Linked DNA regions of Stegostoma tigrinum. The protein of the gene in region 2 interacts with the protein of the main gene of each other region in a pairwise test. Links are inferred from orthologs where the notes say so. Each region holds a gene or a part of one and is shown on either strand. Other genes may lie near its edges.

Evidence for each region.
Region 1: the proteins of myog (region 2) and cluap1 interact in binary tests that used the Homo sapiens proteins (3 or more experiments, as listed by UniProt). The two-hybrid records come from large-scale screens. The link is inferred for Stegostoma tigrinum from reciprocal best matches to the Homo sapiens genes MYOG and CLUAP1.
Region 3: the proteins of myog (region 2) and txndc9 interact in binary tests that used the Homo sapiens proteins (3 or more experiments, as listed by UniProt). The two-hybrid records come from large-scale screens. The link is inferred for Stegostoma tigrinum from reciprocal best matches to the Homo sapiens genes MYOG and TXNDC9.

The regions. Positions count from the first base shown.
Region 1 is NC_081376.1:31,625,109-31,632,041, reverse strand, and holds the start of cluap1 (clusterin-associated protein 1 homolog), read right to left. Parts: upstream 3,049-6,933; 5' UTR 2,680-3,048; coding exon 2,658-2,679; intron 2,077-2,657; coding exon 1,965-2,076; intron 1,095-1,964; coding exon 1,010-1,094; intron 891-1,009; coding exon 711-890; intron 118-710; coding exon 22-117; intron 1-21. UniProt on the Homo sapiens protein: Required for cilia biogenesis. Appears to function within the multiple intraflagellar transport complex B (IFT-B). Key regulator of hedgehog signaling.
Region 2 is NC_081374.1:35,306,761-35,313,852, reverse strand, and holds the start of myog (myogenin), read right to left. Parts: upstream 3,047-7,092; 5' UTR 2,980-3,046; coding exon 2,473-2,979; intron 1,348-2,472; coding exon 1,248-1,347; intron 1-1,247. UniProt on the Homo sapiens protein: Acts as a transcriptional activator that promotes transcription of muscle-specific target genes and plays a role in muscle differentiation, cell cycle exit and muscle atrophy.
Region 3 is NC_081359.1:59,429,637-59,437,531, forward strand, and holds the start of txndc9 (thioredoxin domain-containing protein 9), read right to left. Parts: upstream 3,080-7,895; 5' UTR 2,833-3,079; intron 1-2,832. Other genes in the region: eif5b (eukaryotic translation initiation factor 5B), read left to right, coding at 3,254-3,288. UniProt on the Homo sapiens protein: Significantly diminishes the chaperonin TCP1 complex ATPase activity, thus negatively impacts protein folding, including that of actin or tubulin.

The DNA.
Region 1 (6,933 bases), on a different chromosome or scaffold from region 2:
ATCAGAAACCTGCTGACTCACCCTCAGGTCTACTTCTTTTCCCAACAAATCAAATACAGTTGCTCCTTTGGAGGTAATCTCAGAAGCTAGTTGTCTGGCAGTTTTCAAATCTGATATCTGGAATAGGTGAGAAGATGGAAAATATAAGCTACAAAACATCTCTCTGCAAATATTATTAAGGGCAGTTTACATCATGAAGACAGACTCTATGTTAGCACCAAAATTTGTGCACTGTCAGGGTTTATTTATATATTTTGTACAGTCCAGGAGCAAATCATTGGGTTGTAACAGGTGTATAACACATATTTACCACATGGTCAGGATTAAAACATCTCACTGCTGTAGGCCAAAATGAAAGTTTCACTTAAGTTCCCTGTATGGTTGAGTGTTGAACTGCTAACTTGACCTTGCGGCAACACTTTGATGGAACAGTAAAGCTAGATTGTTAAACATACTCTCAGTCAAAATACAGTGCAAATTCAAAAAGGCAAAGCTCCTGTGGAGCAGAATTTCACTGGAAAGGGTAATGAGTCATAGGTGGGGCTAGAAAACAATAGCCCTGGTCCTGAGGGATGGTTTAGTGAGAATTGATTTCGGTGGCAGAGGGGCATTGCTGAATTTGCCCTTATGTTCTCTTGTATTGTACTGCTCAAACAACAAACATCTGTGCTAATCTTGTCCTGAATGAGGAATTAAGTTGCATTACTCACCTTCGACCCCAAGTCAAATTTGAATTTTGAACTATCTTCTTCTGTATCCTCACTTGTGTCCATTCGCTTTGTTTTCATAGCATTATAGAGAACAGTAGTAATCTTCAGCAACTCTTTCACCGCATATCCATCAGCCTGGTATAACTTCTTAGTATTGAGCTTAATGTGAGCTTTAGTAGCCTGCAATACAAAGTAAATATATTCACAAAACATACTGCAGGTTTCTGGAGTTCATCCCAGATTCATGCTGTCCTACAGTTTTCACACACCAGGCTGAGGAAGAGCTATTTGCTGCTTACCATGAATTGTGCTACAGCTTTGATGAAGAAAACTCGGTCCTGTTCTGTATCTACATCTGTTGGGATATCTGTCTGGGGTTCGTATCTGATAAAACAAGTTCCAAGTAAGGTAAGTTACTTTCCAGTGTACTATTTTCACAACCCCCCTCCCTTTTAAAGGAAATTAGAACTTTTAAGGTTATCCCCAAAACACAGTTAAAATGGAAGGTGATGGTATAGTCTGTCAACTGTAACAAATGTAGTGCAGCAGAATCCAAACCTCATACTTTCCAGCAAGAACAAACTGCTTATTTTAAATCTCAACAGACCAAAGATCGGAATTACCTGCACTCCCTTTTTTCTATATCGTACTCCCAAGACGTAATGAACAAGTGCACATCAGCTGAAGGATGAGTGTTACAGTAACAGACTTGTGCCATAAGGTCTGCTACGATTTCTCATTTATTATGTCTTAAACAGTCTTATCATAAAAGTAAAGATTTAGTGCAAAATTTTCAATCTAAACACTCCATTTATACAAGCAAAATCACTGGGAATATTCTAGATGACTCCCTCTCTGCAATGGCCTACTATACCAACCACAGAAATACATTAATGCATTGATGTGATTTTGCAGCTGCACGTGGTTTTTCATCTCACAGTTGCATTGGCCTCAAATGCAGTCACTTTAATATGTATTCATGTTTTTATGCAGACAAATGCTGTAGCCAATTTGCACATAGCAAGGTCCTAAGATGATCAAACTAGATGAATATCCAGATATTTCAGAAGATGTTGATGCTGTTTGAGAGAAAAATGATGAATTTTCCAAACAGACAGTGCTGCTACAAAACTATACAGCCTTGGTTAGTGGTACAGATACCAAAGTAAATTCAATACCAAAACTTTCATAATTCATTCCATAGATATTGAATAACTAAGGTTATTATAAAAGTGCACTTTTAAGATCACAAACCTTTTAACGAGCCAAATGAGAATCTCTGATACCAAAGGAAAATTCGGAATCCGAAAGTTTTCCATAGAGATCAAACGGGGATACCCCAGAGCCCTCATCATCTCAGTGAAGTCTGAAATACAATAGGTCATCAGTGTTTATACATACATTAGTTAATTAGCAGCTTGGAGGTGCTAATTTCTGGAACTTTCCCATTATTGCACTTCTCAGAAGGATACTCTATTCTTGTAGTATCAAATTACATCTGTACACTGATTATAGAGGCTTTCTTCTTAAATAATGTATTAAGGATTAATATTGACAAGTCTGAGAAAGTACTAATAATTGATGCATCCATACAATATGGAACTAATGGCAAATTATTGTGCTCCTCAGCCTGCTTTTACAAAACAGAGGATGGTGTAAGGAATAATCTTGCAGATAATGCAAATTAAATCTTATTCTCATTATAAATGACAAAATTCATTCCTGGGTAAATAGTGTAAGAGAAACTATGTAATCTAAGATCATTTTTGTCTCCGTAGCTCTGTCTATCCTAAAATTTAAAAAGTTGGAGGCTGTTTCTGAATATAAATAATATACAAAGATGATGATCCTCCAGGGTTAAATAGCAGACCTACTGAACCCGAATATTTGTAAAACCAACGCTACTTCTACCCACAGCCTAAATTCAGACATGAAAATTATCCTTACTCCTCAGGTCTCTGAATGACATGATGCTGATGGAATCTATAGTCTAGATGGGGCCCTATCTTCCTCGGTCATGAAACACAACAAAATACTATATTTCCACTGTATCCAATACCGCCTAGCTTTGGTCCCGTTCACGGGCCTTCCCCGATTCCCAAACGCCGAGCATTGCCCGGTGACTGAACGCGGAATCAATCCACGTTTGCCCCTGCCACACCCCGTCCCTACTCTTCCCCAGACTGTTCCTGTCGGCTCGATTTTTTTTCTAACTTCTCTACTGAGTACTGGAGATGTGTAGCTTCAGATTTCTTTCTTTGTCGTTAGGCCCCGTTTCCATAGAGATCCCCGCCCGCTTTCTGCGCGACAGGCATTCTGGGAGCCACGGCCCCGGCGTCGTGCGTGAGACATCACCTGACGTCACGATCGATATGATGTCCAGGTAAAACGCGGTTGTGTCAACGGCGTTTCAGTTAGATCATGGCTGATTTATCTTCACTTCTTCAGTGTCAATCGTTTGTTCCATGTGGTGTGTATATTGTCTAAAATATTTATATATTGATATATAGGTCACATGAATATGATGCATCATAAGCTGCAAAATATTTTCGTCCAAACAATCCAATCTTTCATTTTTAAAAAATTGCATGCACAATAAGACTGTAAGAAAGGAAAACATGAGTAGATCTTTTGCAAGTTATGAACGTAATCCATAAAGAAAATTGTCATGCGCGGGGGGGAAATCTTTGTCCTTCTAGTCAACTCCAATTTTGCCTGTCCTGTACCTGTACTGGACATAAATCTTTAAATCATTCATGTATTTTAATTGTTGTTTTTGGCCATTTGTGTGGTGTCGGCAGTTATAGGCGTGTCATTACTTTTCTAGGGAACATTGCTACAATGGCAGCTGTGATAATTGGTGCTGTAAATTCATTGCATTTTTGGGAATTGAGGGTCTTATGGCACAGTGGTAGTGTATACCTTTGGGTCCTCTAGGGGCTGATTTAAGGTCCTATCTGATATAGAGGCATGATATGTACGAACACTTTGTGTACATTTTGTTTTGGAGAAATGTTGACCCCTGGAACTGATGGTGTTTCAGTACCTTGTTCAATTGACAAATCAAATCTCCTTCATCAGTTATTTCTGGTTGTATCTTTCCATATGTAGTTGCAATGATAGATCTGGGGGTCATTGGCTTTCACAATGTAAAGTTATGATGACTTGTGTCTCAAGTCTTCAAATTGCCAAGGTTAATGACTTATGTTGAATGTATTGAATTGTTTGTACTCTGATGATTTTCTAACATTGGCACTGATTTGTCACCTTTATCAAAGCGGAATTTAGCTATCTGTCATTATACTTTGATCTTATCATGCACTGTTGCTGCTGCTAGCTTCAGTCATGCTGCTGTAAGGAGCACGCAGCATGACGTTAGTTGCTGATCTGGACCATGTTCTCTGCTTCAGAGGGTTTATTTCTCCCTCTAAGAATACCCCTTGTACACATTTATGCTGAATCCAATATATTTTTTGATGATCCTTTGACAATTTTAACTTCTGCCTTAGCTGTTCCATTTTGATTGGGTGTAATGTGGAGAGGATATGTAGTGCTGAATTTTCCAAGCAATTATTAAATGTCTTAACTCATGGATTGAGGCTTGTTATTGCTTATCATATTAGGAATGCCAAGGCAATTGAAATGCTCTTTCAGGCATTCCAAAGTCTCACTGGTAGTTATTAACATCAGCTGATCTAATTCTCAGCAGTCCGAACTTCCAGAACCAGGCATCACTGTCTAAAGATATGCAGTGGGCCATTTAGGACTGAGCTGAGGAAAATTTCTTCCCTCAGAAAGTTGTGAAACTGTGGCATTCTGCGTGCCAGAATGCAGTTCATGCCAAAACATTGAATGTTTTCAAGAGGGATTCAGATATATGTCTTAGGTCTAAAAAAAATCAATGGCTATGGGAAGAAAGCAGGGACACAGCATTGAGTTGTATGGTCAGCTATGATCATATTGAATGGTGAAGAAGGCCTAAAGGCTGAATGGCACATTACTGTTCCTATCTTCTGTTTCTACGTAATAGTAATTAGTTTTAACAAGGTAATCTATTCCAGTGAGGGTAAAGAGGCCTATTCAGAGCTTCATCCATAGCCTGGGACTTAACATATAAGAAACCTACACTTTTTAAACATTCTACAGAGTATATTGTGGGACAAGTGGAAAATTAAGAAGCACCAACAGAGGTCTTGGGATGGGTGGTAAATACAGCATAGTCTATCTCAAAAGGAAAAGTAAATACAATTTTGTTTTAAATTCCTCCACTTGTGAACAGAAGAGGACAAATGTAAAATAATTAAATGAACCTCTCTCCCTATCTGTAACAGTTTTTATCTATCGAAATTCAAGAATTTTGCTTAGTACCCATCGTATAGAATTAAAGTTCATCTTCATTTCCACATTATTGGACATCAATTTGGTTTGCTCTTGCTCTGCATCATGGAGCCTAAACATTGCCTTTTACAACTTAATTTCCAGGTTATCGTCTTGGGAAAGTTCACAAAAGTCTGCGAAGTTTGTGATTTGCACAAGAACAGTTTAATTTGATTCGCTTCATGTGCTTCCGGAATCATCATTTCAACACTCAGATTTTTTTCGCCTTGGGACAATACAGTACTAACTTTTTTCTAGGATGTGGAGTATTTTGTCAGAATCAACAGCTGATAATTCTCCAGCAACTATCTTTTATCAGTTTAATTTTCTTTTTTCTCACAAAATCCTTGTATGTAAAGTGATTCAGCTTGCTGCAATTACAGTCTGCTTTCCCTGTGCTAAACATACTTTCTTTTCTTTCTTGTGTTGTCCTCCTTGTATTTAAATCCAGTACTGAAAACTGGATTTTTATGTTGTCCTTTCCTCAAATCATCCTTCCTTTCAGTTGTCGTGTGCTTGGAAGATTGGGATTGTCTCTCAACATAATACATAATTTCATCAGTTGTCCTATCAATACACTTCAATTGATGATTAAACACTTCAGAGATTCTACACATCAACAGTTTCCTTAATAATAGGTTTCTCTTCTCTCAGCAGACATACACTCAAAGCAGAATCACTTCTTTCTAGGACTATCTTATCTCTGATGCAATCATCGTTCAGTTGCCCTGACTCATAAGATTCAACTAGACATTTCATTGCCGTCAGTATTCTTCTTGCCTTCCTGGTCTCTAGTGTTAAACACATAGCATTTATAAATAACATGAGCAGAGTATTTAAATTGGGTCTTCAAAACCTTAAAAACTGTAAGTTTGGTTTGGTTCTTTGCTGAGATCTAGAGTGCCAAGCTTTCTCTCATACTGATAACAGAGTTGCTACTCTGGACTTTTACAGGTTTCTTGCTCAACTCTGTGGCAATTGCATAATTCTGCTTCTAAGACTGGAAGAATTTGCAACTCAGTCTCAAATTTAATTTCATTTCTTCAGGAGTAAGTGCTGGAATATTCATAGTTGTTATGACTTACACAGTTGCCAATTTCCGGTATAAGGGTTCAGAATTAAGCCATTTCTGAAGAAGGGTCTAAGCCCGAAACGTCAGTTTTCCTGCTGCTTGGCCTGCTGTGTTCATTCAGCTCTACACCTTGTTATCTCAGAATTAAGTCACGGTTGTTTTTTGCAGCTATTTGCTCTCAGTTGTGAAAATATGCTGAATCCAAGTTGTACACTTCTGACCTCCTGTTCCATGTGAAGTATAAATTAGCTACTGCCCTAAAGCTTTATTTACATCCGTGATATTTCATGATGTGAGAGATCAAGTGTATGGTAAGCCACAGTGTACAAAGGTCTTTATTCAAACATACTCCTTGTATCCCTTAGTACCCAACAATCTATCAACTCTTGTGAATATATTCAACGACTGAGAAACCCCAACTTCCTAGGATAGAGGATTCTAAAGATTCACAATCACTGGTCCTAAATGGATAACCTCTTATTCTGAGACAGAGGGAACATCAGCATTTACACTGGCAAGCCCTTAAAGCTTTTACATCTTTCAGTTATATCATGTCGTTTTTAAAATTCCATGGAAGATAGGTCTAGTTTATTCAGTTTCTGAATACCAAATCCCCTCACATTAGGAATCAGCCTCGCAATATTCACCAAAGGCAAGTACATTCAGTGTGATATTGCCGTGATCATAGCAAATAAAATGCTCTTTTGTGATGTCATATCCTCCCTACCCAGCAACCAGGCAATGGTGGCCAAAAGCTTTTCAGCTAACTTTATT
Region 2 (7,092 bases):
CTACCACTTTTTGTCCTCCACTGAATCTTATCCCTCATCACTAAATTTCAACATATTTGTCCATTTTTACCAATGATATGAAAATCCAACTCCAGCCTATTTCCATAAGGCCCTTCAGCCCAATACCCAGTTCTTACCTTCAGCTATTCTGACCTTGTTTGACTGTTTTCCCCCCCCCCCACCCAATATTCTGGTCCTCCATTAATCACTACATCCTCAAACTCTGAAATTCTCTTCACTACATTTCTTCGAGCTTCAAACGTCCCGTTACAAGCTTTTGCTTTGAAGGCACCATTGTCTATCGCCTGGTCTTCCTCTCCAGTATTTAATTTTGACCCTGGTGAACTGCCTTGCAAGGCTTCATTATGTCAATGGAAAATGCAAGTCAATGAGAACCCAGTTATGGTGTGTTTCCTTTGGATCCACTTGGGAAGGTTAATTTTATTGTTTCTGAGCTGGTGCTTATGCTAGGGAATGGTATTTTCTCTTGCTGTGGCTTACGTTCCTTAATGAAGCCTGCTTCCTGGTGGGCTGACCAAAGAATGTTAATGGAATCTATGCATGTGGCAATAAATTGACACTTTCTAGTTTGAGCTGGTCTATGTCTTTCACACAAATGTTTTTGCACTGTGACTTTTAACCCTTTGCCGCTATCATTTGCAAAACAACTATAACGTGTGAAGAATTAAAAGCACATTACATTGAGGGGTGACCTTATTGAGGTTTATAAAATCATGAGGGGTATAGAAAGGTGAATAACAAGGGTCTTATCCCCAGAGGGAGTTCAAAACTAGGGGACATTTTTAAGATGAGAGGAGAAAGATTTAAAAAGGACAAGAGGCAACTTTTTTTTGCACAAGTTCGTGTGTGGAATGAGCTGCTAGAGGAGGTGGTGGATGCAGGTACAGTTACAACAATAAAACATATTTGCATAAGTTCATGAATAGGAACGATTTGGAGGGAGATCGCCAAGCAAAGGCAGGTGGGGAGCTAGTTTAGTTCGGCAACCAGGTCAGCATGGCCCAAGGGTCCTGTTTGCATGCTCTATAGCTCTATGACTGCAACCCTTCAGACAAGACAGTGTGTGGGTCGTTGTTTCGAAAGGTACCATCTATGACTCGCGCTAGCTACAGGTGGGCAAGTACAAATGCCATTCCTACTTCATTGATTTATTCAGTGAGTCTGTATAAACAGAATAATTGAGAATATTGAGAGGGGTTTTCACTTTCACCAACTGCTGTACCTACCCCTGGAATTGTTGAAAGTAGTGTTGCAATGATCAGAGGAGCTGCTCCACTCCGGGCTGCAGGAAGCGCTGTTTGATCCGCACTCGCTGGGTACTCCGACCTACAATTGCAGTAATGGAAAGAATGACCAGGGATGGATGGTATTTACAGAGTATTTATAGTAGAAATCGAACTACTTTCGAAACTGCAGCGCGCTGAGCTTGCAGAGTAACAATATTTCAAGTTTATTGTTTTCTTTCAACAATTGTTCCAAACACTGCTCAAAACACCTGCTCTCTGCGTGGACCTTCGGAAAAATCAGTTCAACTATGGCACCCCCCCCCCCCGCCCCGCTGTCTGTCGCCTCGCGTGTGAAACAGTGAACACAATCCTTTCAACGGATGTACGTCAAAATCATCAACACAGTGTCCACGTACACACACTAATTCGTTCTTATGTTTTGATCAGGTTATTTCAATAAAATTACAAAGTGAACATAGTACAGTCCATTGGCTGTAAAGCACACGAGGTTGTGAAAGGCACTACAGAAATGCAACTCTTTCTTTGACCTTCCCGTGAGCCAGAGCTGTCATTTTAAGCAATTAAAAATACATTGGGTTAGCTTTATTGTCACAAATTCGCGTTTTCGTTCCGCTGTCAATTTGACATTGTTGAGCCTATTAAAGCAAATCCATAAAGTGTACACTCGAAAAAATTTAACGTATCTGGCCTTCCGCTTCCTCTTCCCATATATTTAGACACAAACCACTATGATCTTAATCCTTAAATAGAACGGAGCTGGGATAAGGGGGGCCGGAGTGGATTACAATTAGGCACCTGGGGGTACCAGAACTTGCCGAGTTTCCCGAGCAGGGTTTCCTGCAAACCAAAACGTAGCTAATCAGTTACGAAGGTGATTCTGGGTTCGGGAAAGACGCAACATTGGACACTCAAAGCCCCTTTGTTTCTAAGTTTAATAAATAAGTCTTTACCAGATAGCAGAGGATTTTTTTTAAGAAGTCTTTGATAGAAACAATTTACAATCCCGGAGATGGTGCCAGAGCAAATCTAGATGGTGAACAAGAGGTGTCAACTGATCACAACGTATTGAGCAGTTTCCAGCCCATCATCTGCTGGGTTTGCTCTGGGCAGGGCTCCAGGGTTGTAAGGTTGACTGTGCTGGTTACAGCGATATATGGACCGGACTGTTTGATCCAGTGCCTTCCGCGGGCTGCGGGATACTTGCCACTTGGCGTGTGTTGCTGCCACTGTAGTGCAGTTTGTCCTGTTGGTTCAAGGTGCTGAGGAGAGCCTGGAGCCTCTCGATGTACTGAATGGCGCTGCGGAGAATCTCCACCTTGGGCAGTCTCTGGTTGGGGTTCAGTAAAGTGCTGCGCTTCAGCGCCTCGAAAGCCTCATTGACTTTCTTCAGCCTCCTCTTCTCCCTGAGGGTAGCCGCCTTCCTCCTGTCCAAGGTGACGGATTTCCTCTTGCAGCTCTTGCACGCCCACAGCAAGCACTGACCAGGGCAGACCTGTTGTGCAAGTTGCTGTTGCTGTTGGAGCTCTGACACCGAGTGCACGTGCTCGTCCAAGCCGCCTTCCAGCGACCTGGCGTCGGTACACAAGCCGCTCCCCAGCCGCTCCTGGTAGACGCTCTGTTCAAACCCCTGCAAGCGGGAGGGGAACACATTTTCGCTGTCGAAAAAGCGTTGGTCTGTAATGTAATAAGGGTTGGTTTCGAAAAGCTCCATTATCAATGGGGCTTTTAGTCTCAAGTTATCTCAAGCACCAACTGCAGAGCAGTATGTCGACGCCAACTGTTAGGTGGCATTTAAAGTCTCCGCTGGCATGAAATCACTGAGATATATATAGAAAGCGCAGAAATTCTATCCAACTCTTAGCTGTCGTCGTGCATCAGGACTTCAATCTGATTTCACCTATTCCCAAGAGGTGCTGAAAGCAGCGGCGAACTCACTGAAAGTTACGTTTTTTTTTGTTCCTTTGTTTTCCGAAATAAAACATTCTTCATTTTTCTAAGTTATCGCCTGCTCAGGCTATATTTGCAAATTCACCGTGCTTCCTTCAGCGGGGGAACAATCAACAGTGTTAATAATAATAAATCTGTTCGCGGTTTCTGAAAGTTTCCACATGGGTTCTGTCTGTGGTTAACTCCGAATCAGCCAGCACTGCAGCTAACTCCTGCTGGTTGATTGCCGTCAGTTCCCAGATCCTTGGGATCCAGTTGGGAGATCAATTGTTTTGCCTCCATTGTGATAATATTTAATCCCCAGAAATAGCATTAGACGGTGTTTATTTACTGGAGGAGATGGATGTTTATTGTTTGAATTTCATATTTTAGCCGTCATCTTCAGCCTAGCTCGTCCAAATTAACTCTGCTTTACAATCCTGCTGTACTATCACCCCTGGAGATGGATTTTGGAACATGCATACACTAGGGGCTCAGTAAGGGCGAACTGAATGGGAGTAGACCCAGACAGTGGTACGTGAAGTGCTCTCAGTGCTGGGATGTACATTTCGGACACTCGGTTTGGCGAAAGGTCAACTCCGAGCCGTTTTCACTTTCGGTGACATTTCTCACACCTTGTAAACTTTCACAGAAAGCGTCCAACTATTCCGGACTAAGCATCAAGTTTCGACATTACTGCCGTGCCCTGAATAGTCTTCATGCGCTCCAATCAAGAACTACTTCTTTTCAAACCCCTTTGCATTGCATTCCCTGCCTGAGGATTATTAGCTTTCTATGATACCCGGTGTCAAGTTAAACAGTGATGGATGGTGGCGAATGTTAAAATAACACAAAGCTTCCATTGTGTCGGTTATTAATGATGAACGTGGTGGAATCAGTCAGACAGTATCAAGCCCTGTCTGCCAACAGTGTTCCCTTTAACTGGGGCTTTAAACAAGAACGACCATTAACAAACATGCAGCACATAACTACAAATCTACTCACAGCACAGAGACAAATTTCACAACATTGCATTGCCAAAAGCTTTTTCCTATAGTTATGCCTTCTAAATCTTTGTGCTTGCCTTCATAGTTTTCAAAGTCATTAATTCAATGCCATGCAAAGATACCATGTAAATGTGAGGTTTTATAATTTATAGAGGGTTCATTAGTGCTTTGAAATGTTTGAAAATACTCTAGACATATTGAACTTGTTGACATCAACTCCCTGACCTGAGTTTTTCCTAAAATCAGCTAAGCTTCAATTTTGTAGAAGCTTTCTCTCGTCGAATCCTAGCAAGTTTTCTCTCAGTTCTTCACAACTCACCTCATTATCCTTGTACCATGTGCTACAGCACATGTCGGGCCCTCGGTTACAGTGGGATAATTCACCACTGATGGGATCTCCCAGGATTTCCGAATATGGCACCTTTTCTACTGCCTAGACATGAATATGGTTGAGTGCTGTCACTCAGGGGCTGCCCCTCACAAGGTATGAAGTCGGAGAGGAACACAAGCAAAAAAAAAACTTCTGAGGGCATATAAGTGGCACAGGCATCACTTCATTGCAAATTCAAGCTCATGTTTGTAAATGGTTGCTATTTTACATGAGCTTCTGATTGATCCACTGTAATTGTAACTGAGTTACAAGAATCAAGCTTCATCCTTAGTGCCATGGCATCTATGAACCCTGTCTACTCTTTTCACAATGCCCAACGTAGTGTAATATTGTTCAATGTTTGAGCTGCAAATACTAATAAGCCTTCAAACAATTGAAAATGATCACTTTTATACAACAACAGCACACACAATGAGAAACTTGCAAAGAGAAAAAGAGATGTATCTGTTTTTGGTACATACAGGGCTTACTAGCCTTTCAAGCAACAACAAATTTTGGGTCAATGAATGATCATAGCATTGCAGCCACTGCAGTGATAATCCCTGCTATGGGCAAATCAGTTGGCCACATTTCCAATGAACCTTTGTGGAGAATATCAGAAACAGAACAGCTCCTTCTTAATGAGAGCAGTCAGCATTAACATTTACACACCAAAGACAATTTGGCATATTCTTCGAGACAGTGGAAAATGCAAGTATCCAACAAAGAGGTCCAAAGAATACCCCTACATGGACCATTGACATACGGAGAATCAGTCTAATGTATACAGCAAAAGTGATGCAAATACAGTTTCAGATTATGAGTTCAGTAGGATTACTGATACCTTGTTCCCCACTTCACCCAAGAAAGGTAGCACTGCATATGAAAACATGTTGACAAATACATACATTTCAAAGTGAGCAGCCTATGAGATCTTGAATTGTCTTTATGAAACATGCTTGCAAATGGAACTCTAAAGGTGGCCTATGTTTACATTAGCTTTATAGAGATGACGATGTTCAATTTGCAATAATCAATGACATGGTCAAGATTACTTGCGACTAGGATTTGTATTCTGTACAATTGGACACTGCATTGCTTTCACATGAGGTAACTATGATTATCAGTGTCATGCCTGATTAATGGAATTGTCTCCTGAAGCACGTCACATTGCTTACAATTAAAATTCATGCTCAGACAAAAGGAAAACATTTACTCTGCTTACTCCAGGTGCCATTCTAGCCATTTTCCAAATTCCATTGCACATTTACAATTAGCATGAAAATGGAAGACAACTCAGTATGTATATGGCACATGAGACACAGGCACATCCTAGTAATTATGAGACGCCCCTGAACCTCAATGTTGCTTTCTTCTGGAACTCCCTTTCAAGTTTATCAATATTGAACATCCACACATTTCCATGCAAATCCTTTAATTTCATCTTCACCTCCGAACATTACCCCCAAACTCTAGGCCTATAGCTTAGGCATGTCAACAATTGTGCTGCACAGTTTCCTTGTCAAATTCAGGGTAATGGTGACAGTCAATGACCCCTCCTCCTGCAATAACATGTGTCCTCCAATGGACCATCATCTCCTACCCTTACATGTTGCAGTATTGCCTTTCACAATTATTGCCCCTCAGCATTCCAGCATGCTGCATCCAATCCCACAATCAATTTAGCCAGCCTCCCTAACACAGGAGTGGCTCTTATAGACCCCTTTGAGCTTCATTGAGCTGACTCCCAGGACTGATTATGGCCCAGCCCCATGGCCAACTTAGAAAGTTAGCCTCAATTAATGAGTGGCCAGACCCTTGACTGATTTCGATACAACTCCCAGACTGACCTACTGCAATTCTCAGACTGGTAACACCTGACCTGCAGGACATATTGTGGTTATCTCTCCAGACTATAATGATATGGAACCTCTGATCTTGACCACTTCAGATATCTGTTTATCATGCCCAATACCCAGGACTGAGATTGGATTCTGCACTTAACTAACTGTAATGGGACCCCCTGACTGATGACAGGTCCCTTGACTTGACTGAGAACTACTCCCACTTGACTTTGAGACATGGACCTTTGGATGAAGAACATGTAGTGTTTTGCCAAGTAAGTTGCTGGTACATGCAGATGTGACAATTGTGTAGCATGGTGCCATACTAGAATATATCCATCTCCTTGAGTGATCACTGTTGAAAATTATGACAAGCTGCCTGGCTTTGAGTCTGTGTTAAGTGGAAAAGGAATACTGTGAGCGTTTAAGGTTGGAATGAGGAGATAAAGTGCAAAAAGGCAAGCCAAGCAGACACGCTGTGAGCATCCAAAGTGAATGAGCCCTAAAACAGCAAGCAAGGAGTCATGAGGTGCACCTTGATCTGATCTATGAAATGGGTGCTTGACCCTGCATGTAAAGTTACCTAGCAGTAGCATTACAATGAAAAGTGATGATGCACCCTAAAGACTGTAAAAAGTAGCAGAAGTTGGCTCCCCAGTGGGTGTGTTGCTGGTGGC
Region 3 (7,895 bases), on a different chromosome or scaffold from region 2:
CAATTTCCCAGTCCCCAGTATCTCATCTTCAACATGGATATTCAGTCTCTCTCTATGCCTGTATCCCCCATGAGGAGGGCATAAAAGCCCTCTGTTTCTTCCTCTGTCACAGGCACAACCTGTTCCCCTCCACCAACTCTCTCATTCGCTTGGCAGAACTAGTCCTTACCCTCAACAGTTATTCCTTTGACTCCTTCCACTTCCTACAAATTAAGAGGGTAGCTATGGGCACTCGCATGGGTCCGAGCTATGCCTGCCTCTTTGCCGGATTGGTGGAACAGTACCTCTTCCGCAGACACACTGGCACCATCCCTCACCTCTTCCTCCGCTACATTGATGACTGTATTGGTGCTGCCTCATGCCCCCATGAGGAGTTTGAACAGGTCATCAACTTCAGCAACACCTTTCACCCCAATCTCAAATTCACCTGGACCAACTTGACACCTCCCTTCCCTTCCTGGACCTCTGCGTCTCCATCTCTGGCAACCGAATTCCATTTCAAACCCACCGACTGCCACAGCTATCTTGACCATACCTCCTCTCACCTATCCTCTTGCAAAAATATGATCCCATACTCCCAATTCTTCTGCCTCTGTCACATCTGTCCTGTGATGAAGCGTTCCACTCCCAGACATCCCAGATGTCATCCTTCAAGGACCATAATTTCCCCACTCCTGTGATTCAGAATTCCCTCAACCACATCTCCTCATTTCCTGCACTTCTGCCCTCAAATCCCCTTCCCCTATCCCTGGTCCTCACATTCTACCCCACCAATCTGCAAATCCAATGCATCATCCTGTGCCATTTTTGTCACCTGCGATTTCACCCCACCACCGAAAAGATATTTCCCCATCTCTATCTGCCTTCTGTAGGGACTGCTCACTCTGTCGTCAGCTGCACGTGCCCCACCAACTTTCCCACCACACCTGGCATCCTGCCCTGCAACTGAAGGAGGTGCTACATCTGCCCCTATGCATTCCCTCTCAGCTGCATCCAAGGTCCCAAACAATCATTCCATATCCAGCAGAGATTCAATTGTATGTCTTCTAACCTGATCGACTGTATCAGTTGCTCCCAATGCGGTCTTCCCTATATAAGGGAGACCAAGCACTGATTCAGGGGCCAATTTGCACAGCATCTACACCCGGTACGCTCCAATCAATGCCACCTTCCGGTTGCTAGCCATTTCAACTCCCCATCCTACTGCCTTGGCAACATATCCATCCTGGGCCTCCTCCACAGTCAAAATGAGGCGATACATAAACTGGAAGAGCAATGCCGTACATTCCCCCTCAGGAGCTTACAGCCCAATGGCCTCAACATAGACCTCACCAGCTTCAAAATCTCCCCACCACCAGCCTCGACCCACGTCCAGCCCTACCTCTCATCCCCGCCTCTTTGACCTGTTACAACCTGTCCATCTTCCTTCTCATCCATTCACTCCACCCTTCCCACTGACCAATCTCTTCAATTCCCTACCTGCATTTACCTATCATCATACGCACTCCTTCCTCCAGCCCAACCTCGCCCGTTTATTTCTGAGCTCCCTTCCCCTCCCCAGTCCAGGTGAAGGGTCCGGACTCGAAACATTGACTTTCCTGCTCCTCTGATACTGCCTGACCTGCTGTGCTCCTTCAGCTCCACATTTTATCGATTCTATTTGACCTTTCTTCTTTTTTACCACCCAAATAGTGGTAAACAAGAGAAAAACTCTGCCCCGCTTCTCCAATTATGCAATTTTATAAGTCTCAAGAATTATACTTTTCTGTTGATACAAAGATGCTACCCAAAACAAGCACTAAACAATACTCGTAGGAGAAGCCAAGGGAACAGGGTGATAGTTCACAAGATCGCCAACAGTTATGTTTTGAGCGTAATGAAACACATATCTCACTCAGTGCAACAAGAGCAACACTCAATAAACTTAACTGCATCTAGTGTGGAGCAATTTTTGAATATCATCTATGCCATTGCACTCAACATGCTTCCATTTGACTCCTTCCCAGGTATATAAAGTGACAGGACTGAAAGACAGTTCACACAAAAACAAAATGTTGACAAGTTCTGCTTTTGGAAGGAGCAAATGCACTTGTACAAACTCGTTATGGTCCTAGTAGTTATGCCTGATTGAAAATATTTGCACTCATTGTTGTAATGCAGTAAACCTTGTTATCTGAGAACAGTGCCTCTTCTGTAGATAGTCCATGGTGCTGGATCCTCCTACCAAGAATCACGAGATAGGTAGAGAAAAGAAATGAACACTGTTTGTAGCAGATTGCCGCAAACAATCTTGACTCAGCACCACGTATTGTAAAGGTGGTAGTTACTACAAGGAAATAGGAATAGTCCTCTAAGAAAATAACACACATTCCATCGTTCAAACCTTGTGGCAATAACACATGCAATTTTAGAGTTGTATGGAAAGCTTTCCAGTCCTACTACGAGTGCAAACAGAACAACAATAACCACAAGAAAACTGTCACCTATAAGTTTTCCTCCAAGTCACAAACTATCTTTATTTTGGCCTGTACTCCTTCACCATTCTGGACCTTCTTATGGCACCCTCATTACTAAGGCTAAACGTAAGGTCTCAGTCATCAATAAACGTTGCCTTGTTTGAATAATGTAATATCGTGAGAAACAAAAACTGCAACCCACCAAACAGTTTCTAGTACCAAAAATGACATGATAGTCACAATTTAAATAAAGGAAAGGGTAAATACATGGCAATAAATACGCTTCTAACCATGATTAGAATAAGTAAACTATAAATTGCAACATAGTTTAATAAATTACAATAGCATATTGATATTTTTAAATTATAATGTTTACCTGATGCTAAAGGAGAGCTTTTGAGATGCAGATTTGCGACTGTAATAGGAAGCAACTATTTGATAAAATGCTGTATTTTTCCTCCACAGTTTTGGCATTTGTACTTTTCATAAACTGTTGGAAGGAAAAGTAGTTGCCAAATTCCCCTTCTTAAAATAATAATCATAAAAAGCAAGATTGAATCTTGATGCTCTCCGAAATGTCTTTTTGCAGTATTGATCCCAGCTCTTTTGCATCATTTCCTCCTTTGCACTTTCTACTTCCGCCTTGAATGATTGACAAGCGGGCGGATGGGCTGAAACCACAGCCAATCAGAGATCAGATCACGGGTCAGCCGCGATAGCGCATGCGCAGATTCACGCGACTGCCATATGTCTGAAAGAGATTTTAAAAAGTGACAGTGAGGCAACAGTGTAAAAAAATGGGGAAAAAACAGAAAAACAAGAGTGAAGATAAGTGAGTGTTGAGCTGTTTACTTTTCTGTTTATTCGTTACTGAAGAGGCTGGTTGCCGTGAGCGATGGAAGGAATTGAGGGAGTATGTTGCTTGACTAGGCCGCTGGACGGATCTGCTCCTACTGCTCGAGTGCGGAGGAGTCCGGGTCCCTACCGCTAACATGACGCAAGAGGGGCAGGCCCGCGGGCTACTGACTGGGGTTAACGTTAGTCTGTTTTGTAGAAATGGGAGACTTCGAGGTTGTCTTCACCCCCTTCCTCCGTGATCCTCCTTTACGTTTTCAAGGAACCTGATAAACCATAGGCTTAGAATTTGTTTCTACGTATGATTTTTATCCAATAATTTTACGGTCATGTCAAAAGTGGATATAACATACGTTGCAGTTTTCTTTTCCTAAACGTTATGGGCCATATCTAGAAGATATTACTCTGATGCAGACTTTATATTGATTTGACTCATTATGGACTTTTTAAGTATGTTAACATTCCTGTTGAAGTGACAAAGACACGCTAGGTGAACATAATATCAGTACAATAATTTCTAGACTGAAGATTAATATAGAATATAATTTAGGCCTTCGTTATGATATCAGATGCAAATCAGATGCCAGACAATGACTCCTTATGTTGCCTTGTCTGTATCCATTTGTTATCTTCTACTCTGTGACCCTGGACTATATGGTGTATATTAATCATAATTATGTGTAAATATTTGCAATCAGCCTGTGCAGATTTGTTATGACACACCTCTGGAACCAGGCCTCCTGGCTTAGAAGTTGGGATACCATTGCTGTGCCACTAAGGCCCTTCCATAATCCTGTTTACAATCAAAAATAGAATTCCAAGCATATGAGAATACTTGGTGAGCCCTTTGTTGATTTATTAGCATTGAAGTATCTGAATAGAGAAGTCTTATCATCTAAATATCTAGTTAGATTTGCCTTATTCTAAATGTCACCCACATTTGTGATCAACTTGTCCATTGAAAATTAGTTTGCTTGTTTAATTAACTGCCTATTCATTGACTGTCTGTACCCGTATTCTCCAATTCGATGGAAAGTGTTCCTCATATGTCAATAAATAGAAATAAGTTCACCCGTGGGCTGGAATGACCCTGCACATCTTGTGACCACTATGTGGGACTTGGATGTATTTTCTTGCATCTTATCAGGCATTCAATCCCACGATGAGCAATATAAAAGTATTCACATGCAAGTTTTTAAACTTCAGTGCTTGCTAGAAAATTTGGATGCTCAGAAAGGGCACGGACTAGTGGTATTAGCAGTAGTCTTAATAATTTGGGGTTCAAATCCCACCGTGGCAAATGGTGGATTTTGGATACATTTAACAGACATGTGATCACCGTGAAACTGGTGTGGTTTGTTAGAAAAACCCATCTCATTCACTAATATTCTTCAGGGAAGGAAATTTGCCAATCTTACCTGGTCTGACCCATGTGTGATTCCAATTCTCAGCAATAGGGTTAACTCTTAACTGTCCTCAGGGCAATTAGGGAGGGCAATAAAGGCTACTGTAGTCAGCAATGCCCTCCTATGATGGGATTTTTAAAAAAGTATTATTTAATAGTAGCCATCATATTACATTTATCAGCAGGGTCTACAGCTTTTTTAAATCATAAAATTTGGCAACTGGAATTTGCTAATTGATTTATTACTGAAAATTATGAAACAAGTTGTCACCATTAATCATTAGTGACGGACACTAAATGCAGAAGGTGAGAGATTGATAATGATTGATGTATGGTTGTTTGTGGGAGAAGGAACGATTGTGAGAAGCAGAGATCTTGAGAGAGATTACGTATTGGTGTGTGTAGATCAAGAAACATGAAGTGAGAGAGGAAGGGGTGCATGAATGAATAATCTAGATTTCAGGAAATGAAAAATATCAAATGTGCTAAATTTTGAACACAGGCACAATACTGCAGATGCTGGAAATTGGAAATAAATAATAAAATGCTGCAAATGCACGTTCGGTATTATAGAATTTGTGGAAAGTAATAGTTAACATTTCATCAGACCTGAATCGGAGTTAGAATAATCAGCTTTCAAGGAGAAATATGGGCAGGGGAAGGTTTTAAAACAAAAACAAGAGGGAAGCTCATTAGTTGGAGAAACTCTCAATCTCCAAAGAAGTGGTTCTTATTAAATTATTGGAACTTAGGCCTGTCAATTGCCCCGATCCTGATGAACTTCAACCAATGGTCCTAAAAGAAGCGGCTAATGAATGAGATGGTACAGATTTCAAGTGATTTGCAAAATAAAAACGTGATTTGAGAAAAGAACTTCCTCACACAACGATTGAGTCATGTTCAGTAGTTGAACACTTGTAGTGAGAACTGAGGTGGAAGCAAGTTTAATTGAGGCATTCAATGGCACTAGATGATTCTTTCTATTAAATAATGTGCAAGATTTTGGGAAGCAGGCAGGAGAGTGGCGCTGAGTTATAATTCCCATTTGGAAAGCTGCTGAAGACAGGAGGGGTTGAATGGCCTCCTGCTGCACTGTAACACTTCAGTGACTCTGAAGGGAAATATAAAATGGGTTGCAGCAACAAGATGTCCTCTGGGACAAGGAGGCAGAGATAGAAATGCCTTCCTAGAAAGATAGAACCATTTAGAAGACTAATGGGTAGGTAAGTGTATTTCAGAGAGATAAGCATGCCCAGTGGAGAGAAAAGGTGTGCATCAGCCTTGATTTACCACTGCAGTTTAGCAATTTAAAAAAAAAGACAGTGCAGAAGAAAAACCCTGTGTGGCAAAAAGTTAGGTGACAGGAGAATGTGGGCAGCACGAAGGCTCGGTAGTTAGCTCTGCTGCCTCACAACACCAGGGACCTGAGTTCAGTTCCACTCTCGGGCCACTAGCTGTGTGGAGTTTGCACATTCTACCTGTGCCTGCGTAGGTTTTCTCCGGGTGCTCTGGTTTCCTCCCACAGTCCAAAAACGTGCAGACTAGATGGATTGGCCATGCTAAATTGCCCGTGGTGTTCAGGGAGGTGTAGATTAGGTGGGTTATGACGAGAGGGGTGAATGGGTCTGGGTGGAATGCTCTGAGGGTCAGTGTGGATTTTTTGGGCCAACGGGCCTGTTTCCACACTATAGGAGTTCTGTGATGATGATCTATGAATATCTTACAAGGCCATTGAATGCACAATTTAAGTGAACACCTCGTGAGGAATAAATCGGTTATGTTAGCAGCTTAATGGTCTCCTGAAGAAATCTGACCTGGACATGATGGTGTAGAGTGAATGCAGAAGTTTGCTGGTAAGAAGCCAAGAATAGCCATGCTTCCTGAACAAGAAGCTTTTAAAGTGGAAAGAGAGTAACTTGGACTTTTAAGGTGAGAGCAAGAAGATTGTATCTTCCTAATATGTGCTAAGAACATTTCAAATAGTTCTTATACAGAGGTAAAGTCACTGTAGTCTTACCAAACTGCAGGACGACTGTCTCATTGGAGAAGCACAGCTGGTGGTATTTTAACCTGAGGGTCACCATGTCTTGGACGAGTGAAGAAGTTGAGAAGTAGAATCCTTCATGGTAACCTCAGCCAGCGTAAGAGTTGAACCCATGCTGTTAGCTTCATTCTGCAGTCCAGCCAACTGAGTTAAACTGATCCCAAAGGCTAAGTTAGAAAAAGGATTTGTCTAATAACATGAACATAAATATATATTTTTTTTGTTAAAAGTAGATTGGCAGCCTCTTTTTAATACATTCAGTTACTGACCACAGTAATAAACCAATTGCCCAAATTCAATTTCTAGTCTATCAAACCAGATTTCAAGTTGATATTAATGGACAAGTTAAATTCCATCAGCTGGGATGATAGCATTGAATGAGTTTCAGTTTGTTTGTGCCTGCTGGAGTTAACAGTCACATTATTGTTGAACTTTCTGTTGTATCTCATTTTTATGATGTTTGGTCAGCTGTTAGCTGTTCTGGTATTGATTGTTTGAAAATTCTCTGTTCTTTAATTTTTCTCAAATTTTATCCAGTTTTGGCCTTGTATTCACTAAAATAGCACAACTTAATGGGAGTATATTTGTCACATTGTATTATTTCTAATCTCCAATTTTGTTTGATATGTACCCTTACTAAGCACAGTAATATTTTTTGTGATTGAATGAATCAATGAAAGAACACTAGTTAAGAGCAGAGACTGAAGCTTTAATCAATCAGTAGCTTTTTTTTGATGTGTTTAGGAAATAGTTTTAGTATCCAAAAGCATTATGGGAGAGATTTCTGTTGTTGTACTCTGTTTTCAAAAAATATTTTCACTACAAACTTTTCAGATTTTTAATGGTAATCTGTTGAATGTGGCAACTAGAAACTGAGTTTTCAGTCAAAGTGCAGTTGTAGCATTCATCTGGATCGAAAAGTTAGTGTTCAAGTTCCCACGGACTTGAGCACAAACCTTAGCTGAGGCTTCAGTGCAGAACTGAGAGCTCGCTGCACTTTTGGACAAATTTGGGAAACAATGTTAACCCAATATGTCTTATGTCCTCTCAGGGATGTCAAACAATAACAGTATTTTGAAGGCAAGCAGGAAAGATCACTTCCTATCTTGACCAGCAATTATCCTTCTTTAGTGGG